Mus musculus: one gene and its partner. The protein of the gene in region 1 interacts with the protein of each later gene in a pairwise test. Links are inferred from orthologs where the notes say so. Each region holds a gene or a part of one and is shown on either strand. Other genes may lie near its edges.

Region 1 (4,119 bases):
AGTTTATGGCCCTAGGCAAGGTCGCGTAGTCACTTGTAAAATGGGGCTGACCATAGTATTTGGATGCATTAGTTTCTGTGCCTACAGGGTTTTAGAGTAGAGCCCAGTGAGCCATAAAACCGTCCAAGTGACAGGCGAGCAGGTAACCTCTGCCCAGTGGGTCATCAGCTGGGTCTCTAGAAGGATGGCTGACCTCTGTCCACGTATCCACCAGATCTCTCGCTTCTAAGTTTGCTGGAGTGCACGTTGAGACCTCTCAGGACAGAGAAGTTAAGACAATGCAGCTTGATTTGGGGGTGTCACTCAGGAAGCCCAAGATGCAGGATGAAGAATGGAGACTGTCCCAGCCAGCGTGACCACAAACTGCCCTGGCAGAGGGGAGTACGGGAGGAGCACGGGACTTGGAGACCCCAGGCCACAGACTCAGTGTGACTTTGGCAGGCATCACTGCTGTCTGGCCTCTATACTGTTCTGGGTGGCTCCTGTGCTCACGGGCCAGTGCACTCCGGCATGGGTTGGCCAAGGGGTGGAGAAGGGACCTGGTCACTAAGGAAAAAATATCCAGATACCTCACACCCACAACTGCCTTCATGGAAGGCCATCCATGAGTCGTTGGGGCTTCTGGGGACAGCTCAGACTCTGAGAGTAGACCTAAAAGACCCTTCAGGGCTTTCCACTCTGAGAACTGTCCCATTGGCCAGATGCCAGGCTGGGTTCCTCAGGTCTCAACAGACCAGGAGCCATACTGGATTTTCCCAGCTGCTTCTAACGTGGTGCCTGACACTCAGGAAGTACCTCGTCACCCCCAATCAACTTGAACCAACTTCATACAGCCTGACCATGCTCCTCCTGTCCCTCCTGCTGTCACCTTCCGGGGACCCCCTGAGTCACTTCCCTCAACACTCCCCCGGGAACCTGAGGAAGCCCTCAAAGTCCAGAGAATGGGAGAGGGCTGCTTCCAACATTCCAACACCCCCTCCTGGGGTGTCCCCAGGGGGCCTGCCAGCCCACTCTAAGGCCATTTTACCTTTCTCTGTCTGGGTAAATTACCAGTGACCAATACAATGTCAGTCTTGCAAGACCTTGGGGCTGAGGTGAGTAGACTTGACCTCTGTACACTCTCACTCCTGGCCCCGCCCCCTGCTCCCACAGTGGGTAAGACTCCCAAGTGGGACAATGGCCCAACCTCTTTTTTTTTTTTTTTTTTTTTTTTGGTTTTTTGAGACAGGGTTTCTCTGTATAGCCCTGGCTGTCTTGGAACTCACTTTGTAGACCAGGCTGACCTCGAACTTAGAAATCCACCTGCCACTGCCTCCCAAGTGCTGGGATTAAAGGCGTGCACCACCACTCCCGGCATGACCCAACCTCTTTTGAGGTGTTTGCTTTTTTTTTGACACAGGCTCTCATGTAGCCCAGGTTGGCCTCAAATTCTCTATGCTGTGGATGCTGGCCTTGAGCTCTTGATCTTCCACTTTCTGAGTGCAGGCATGTCCCCATACTCCGCAACCTCTCCTAAAATATTACTCCAAATACAAATATTCCCTCCCCACAGCATCTATGAAAGATCCTATGCACACACACACACACCCATTTACAGACAGTGCTCTCCCCAAACCCCACAGATGAGGGACAGTCACTCCAGTTCTCTGGAATCACCTTGGAATGGCCAAGGTGCCAGGTGAGAGACAAAGGCCCAGGGGTTACTGGGAGCATCAGCTGTCCTCTGTCCTCTCCTGTCCCCTGAGCAGGGGTGGGGGTGGGGATGGAGTTAGGGATGAGGGTGGGGAAGAGGGAGCCTTGATAACCTGTTCATCCCTACTGACCCCTTCCTGCGTGGGGTGGGGGTAGGGTTCTGGGGCTAAAGACACAGGCACCCTGAGAGGAGAAATGGGATCCTGGCTTAAAAAGGCCTGCCGGCATCTTGAGCGGGAGCGAGGTCTTCCTGGAGCTCAGTGGCCCATAAGAGGACCAGAAAAAATAGGAAGGCTCCCTCCCCTCTCAGGCACACTGCAGGAGGCGTGTAGCTGCGGGGAAGAAAGCATGGCACCGGACCTTGCTTCATGCCACCTGCCGGGTGCCGAGTGGGGCGTGGGGTGCGGAGACCTCCGTCCCCTCTGCGCGCTGCTCGCCCCCCTCCCGAGCTCTGTCCCCGTGGGGCGCACCGTGTCCTCTGGGGCGCGGCTGATCCATGAAGGGCGGACACCCACCCTGGCTTCCCTGAGCGGAGCGCTGGTGCCCCCCCCCCCGCCCCCCGCTTCTCGCTGCGTCCCGGGCCGCCCTGTCCTCACCTCGCGACACACAGGATCCCATCACGGGGCGGCGGGGCTGGGCCACTGCGCCTGGGGTGCGGTGGGCGGCCGCGCGCTCATGTCTCCGTGGGCCGGGGCTGCGCGGCTCGCCCTCCTCTCGCTCCTAGTCCCCGCTGCCGCGTCCGGATCGCCTCGCGCCGCGCCCGCAGCTGCCAAGGCCGGGCGACACCGCGGCGGGCGGGGACCCGGGGAGCGCGGAGGGGGCGGGGCTGGGGTGCGCCCCGCCCCCTCTGTGCCAGTGTACCTGTTGTCGCTAACCAAAGTAAGGCAAACCAAAGTAACAGGACTCGGCCCTGTAAGGAAGACTTCTAGTTTCAAATCTGAGTAGCGCCTGCTTTCTGGAGCTCAAGGTCAGGGGAAAGGGCTGGGAAGGGGAATTCTGCAAAGATGAGCCTCATCCCACTGTGCACAATGAGCAAGATCGAGCTTTGTTTTGTTTTATTTTATTTTGTTTTATTTTATTTTATTGGCTTTTCGAGACAGGATTTCTCTGAATAGCCCTGGCTGTCCTGGAACTCAGTTTGTAGACCAGGCTGGCCTCGAGCTCAGAAGTATGCGTGCCTCTGCCTCCCAAGTGCTGGGATTAAAGGCGTGCACCACCACTGTCTGGCCCTGAGCTTTATTTTTAGTGTGTGTGTGAGAGAGAGAGAGAGGGATCAAAGTACACTTGGGGTGGCGGGTGGGGGGGGACGGGACTCTATTCTTTCTTTCCACTATGTGGGTCTCAGGGATCAAACTTGGTAACCAGACTTCCTGGTAAGTACCTTTAACCTGCCGAGCCATCTCGCCAGCCTCCAGGTCAGGGGTTTTTGATAGTCACCTGCTTATGGGAGGATGCTGGTCCAGGGAGGGAGTTCTGAGGGAGGACCAAGACACTGCATTAGTGGCCTCCTGGCTAGATAAGCGGTCTCATGCAAGAAGGTAGGCTACCTCCCAGGGCTCCTCTGGAGCAAGGAAGTATAGGCAAACCCTACCTAGGAACTTCTGTCATGGAATAGTGGAGGCTAATTGCTGGCACTTGTATGGCTGTTAGCGTGTGTGTGTGTGTGTGTGTGTGTGTGTGTGTGTGTGTGTGTGTGTGTTCCTCTTCTCACACATATGCACTGTGTGCATTCACATGCACTCATTTAGGATCCTGGAGAGAGTGGTCAGATGTGCTGTGACAAACCTTGCCAGGCCTGAAGCACCCTGTATCTGAGGTAAATGTCACCTCACCCCATCCTTGGACATTCCTGTTTCCAGACAGAGGAGTCAATGGGTCTGTTTACCAGCCCTGTATCACTAGAGACAGCCCTGGGGGATGAATATGGCTTAGAGCAAGGGTTTGAAGACCCTGTGCAGAGCAGAAGCCAGGCCTGCTGGGGCTGCCCAGGGCTGGGGACTCGAGCTATTGAGTAAAGTCAGAGTGGAGGTGGCCCCATGCTGTCTCTGGTGCTTTAAGACCTAGGTGTAAATGGAGACCTGGCTCATATAGACAGTGTTACTTAAACCCACAACTGAATCTGAAAGGAAAACACATGAATATCACTGCTCCATACACAACACAGGACAACAGGGGGCATGCATCACAGATAGCCCCGAGACCGGTGACTTACAGTGCACAGGAGCAGGGATGCCACCACTTGGGAGGTAGAATCAGGGTGGTCAGAAGTTCAAGGTCATCTTTGGTTACGTAGTGAGTTCAAGGTCAGCCTGGGTTACATGAGACCCTGCCTCAAAAAAGATAAGGGGGAAGAATATAAAGTATATGTAAGGATGTGCCTGGATTATGCGGAAATACCGTACCATTCTAACAAAGGGCTGGAACCCC
Region 2 (3,500 bases), on another chromosome or scaffold:
TTTCTGCTCAAAGCTACCTCTGGAGGTGATGGACAGGGCACAGATGAACTCTCGGAAATCGATGGTGCCATCACCGTTCTTGTCGAAGGTGCGGAAGGCGTGCTGCGCGAACTTGGAGGCATCTCCATAGGGGAAGAACTGCAAAGAACACACAAGTCAGGAGCGGGAGGACGTACAGAGGCCCCAGGGTAGAGTTAGCATGGAGAACGGGCAGAGGCTCATACCATCCCCGTTACAGTGTAGTCTGGCTACGGAGCATGGTTGGAGACAGCATGGGCCTTATCTGTCAGCAGAATGCATTGGTCAGTGATGATCAAGGGAAGGGAGGCAGAAGGGGAGGCCTTGTCGCCCCTTTCTTTGAGCACAGGGATAGACCATTTCCTGTGGAGGCATGTGACCTCCAGATTGATGGGGTCCCAGTCATTCAACACCTTGCTTTCCTGTAGTTCCATTAGTCACCTCCAGGGCAGGACAGAGGCAGGTAGCAGGCCACATGGGGCTATGCAACATACATTTCTAGGTTCCTTTGGGATCACCACACCACAGGATGCAGGGACAAGCTTTCTGATTCTGTCTCTGGTGCCATGACACAGTGTGTCACCTTCCTGGGTGAGATACCAATTTTTTTTCTTTTTTTAAACAGGGACTTTTCCTTTGCAGAGCAGACATTTAAAAATCCATTAAAAATAGAACACGACTAGGCTTATTGTGAGAGACATAAAGTGCTTTCTCCACAGAGCCAGCAGGCAACAGGCTGCTTGGGTGACAGAATGGACACAAGGAGCCGAGGAGAGGATGTCTATGGTAGGGCTGAGACCTTGAGAGCCAGTTCACAGTGGTCCTGGTTCCCCCTAAGATAGGATCCTAGGTGTGCCACAAACAGCAGGCAGTTCTGAGCACTGACAACCACATACATGTATCTCAAGGCCCCAAACAGAAACAAACCGCACTGTCGAATGCATGCATGGAAGGTCTGTTAGCATTCTGGCTGAATATATTGTAAGTCAGAGTCACTGGCAGAGCACCAGGGTTGGTCTCTGCTATTCCTGCCCTAGGTTTTGTTTGATTGGAAGAACCATGTGAGCAGCCACCAGTGTGCTCTCTTAGCCCATGGCCTCATTGCCCCTGGGGCCATGGATACAATTGTGTTTTTATCTGCTAGGTTACCCTATGCCCTATGCACCCACTTCTTCCCGTACCCAGAAGCACACTGGAAACTAGATGAACTAGGTCCATCAAGACAGTTCAGCAGGGAAAGGCACCTGCTGTTTGACACAAATTTGATCCCAGGAGCTCAAGTAAAGTAGGGGGAGAGAACCGATTTCCATAAGTTGTCCTCTGGCCTCCACCTGCATGCTATGGCACCTGTGTGCGCACACTCGTATATATATCACATATCACATGTGGGCACATATAGATTAATAATAAATTAATTTCTTAAATTGGAAAAAGAAAATTTGCCATAGAGATAAAATAGGGCTTTTCATATCAGGATCCTATGTGTATGGCCTACACAGAATTATAGGGGCAAGAGGGGCCAATGCGGACTGTATCTAGTACAGTAGTTCTCAACTTGTGGGTTGGGACCCTATGGGGGGGTTGTAGAACAGCTCTTTCACAGGGGTTGCCTAAGAACAAAAGAAAACACAGATATAGCAGTAGCAAAATTACAGTTATAAAGTAGCAACAAGATAATTTTATGGTTGGGGGTCACCACAGCATGAGGAACTGTATTAAAGGGTAACAGCTGGGGGCTGGAGAGATGGCTCAGCTGTTAAAGCACTGGCTGCTCTTTCAGAGGATGAGGGTTCAATTCCCAGCAACCACATAGCAGCTCGGAACTAATTCCTGTTCCAGGCACTCTGACATCCTCACACAGACATACATGCAGGCAAACACCAATGCACATGAAATAAAATTACAAAACAAAAATAAAAAGGGTCACAGCATTAGGAAGGTTGAGGACCACTGGCTCTAGTAGCTGTCATTTCTCTACACTGTTCCTATTCCTGTCTTTGGGTAGCAAAAATCACCCCAACATTTAGCGGCTTAAAAGAAGGGCAATTGTTTTGCTTTCTTTTTTCTTCTCCTTTCCTTTCCTTTCCTTTCCTTTCCTTTCCTTTCCTTTCCTTTCCTTTCCTTTCCTTTTCTTTCCTTTTCTTTCTCTATGAATTCGAGCTTTATGCATTAATGCACCAGTGATAGACATAAAACCCAACAGCCCCATGCCCATTAAGGAAGTTGAAAAAAAAAACCTTAACAAAAAGAGCATGTACTAGATACACTAGGGAGTCGGAAATCCTGTGGCATGCCATCTCTGCTTTGGTACCCAGAAGAGAGCCTGAGACTATTCAAGGCTTCCAAAGCTTTGGCGAGTCCAGGTTCATTTCGAGAGGTCTCCTGAGGTTTCTGCCTGGTGGTTTCTCTTGGTGTTCAGTGGTAACTGTACATTCCCTAGTGCTTGCAGGCCTGGGTTGTAGACCACTGCTTAAGCTTGATCCTAGTCCTTTTCTCGGAGAACCAAAGCCTAATACGTCCTTTTGTCAGTTTGAGTTTGTCAGCCAAGGCCCCTAGAGTCTCATCTTTGGAGCAGCGGTCTCTCAGGAAGTGCTCTTTCAGCTCCAGGAACTGCTCATAGGTGATCCCAAAGTTTCCATGGCTATCGGACAGGAAGGGTGGAGTTATCTCTATCTCAGTTACTTCTACCTTGGCTGCGCTTGAGTTCCATTCTTCAGTTTTCTGTTTTGTTTTTCAATGTCTCAGAATACAGAAACTTCAAAGCTACTTATTGTTTTCACAGATTTCTCCCCCTTCTCTCAATTTCTTTTGAGACAGGGTTTCGCTCTGCAACCCTGCTCACATGGTACTCATTATCTAGACCAGGCTGGCCATGAACCCTCCTGTTCCTGCCTCTCAGGATGTGGGTTTACAGATATGTGCCACTGTATCTGGCCACCAGTCTTACCTTTATGTGGTCCTGAGAGCCAGCATTGCCCTTTGCTTCCTTGTTCCCTAACCAAATCATGTTTTTCCCAACCTCCCCTTATTAGTACTTAATCGAAATTACAAGGTTTCTTTTTAAGTACCATCCTGGATGTTGGGGATGCAGAGACCAACAGCTTGCAGTCCATGTGTGCCTAGACCACATAGCCATTGTGGGAAATCATCTGGAGTCTACCATGCTCTTTTTTAAGTGCTAAGAGTGGACCACGGGGTGAACAGAGCGCCGGAAACCTTAGGAAAGGGTTCTTCAGGGAAGTGGTGTACATCTTTGTGACCGCTCAGTAGGATTCTCATTCATCCGCTTCTGGCTACTGAGGGACGTGAACATGAGATCTGAACGCCAGATCCTGTGTGCGGAAAGGAGGAAATACATACCTGATATATTCTAACGGGCACGTTTGCTCTTTGTGGGTCACGGGCACCAGTGGAGGTTGCCCCTCTACAGGCAGGCGTTACTTATGGGCTGCTCTGCTTGTAGGAAGGGCAGGTGCTTGAGA

What was found.
Region 2: the proteins of Fam131c (region 1) and Vsnl1 interact in binary tests that used the Homo sapiens proteins (3 or more experiments, as listed by UniProt). The two-hybrid records come from large-scale screens. The link is inferred for Mus musculus from reciprocal best matches to the Homo sapiens genes FAM131C and VSNL1.

The regions. Positions count from the first base shown.
Region 1 is NC_000070.6:141,366,494-141,370,612, reverse strand, and holds the start of Fam131c (protein FAM131C), read right to left. Parts: upstream 2,422-4,119; 5' UTR 2,311-2,421; coding exon 2,289-2,310; intron 1-2,288.
Region 2 is NC_000078.6:11,332,079-11,335,578, forward strand, and holds part of Vsnl1 (visinin-like protein 1), read right to left. Parts: intron 139-3,500; coding exon 1-138.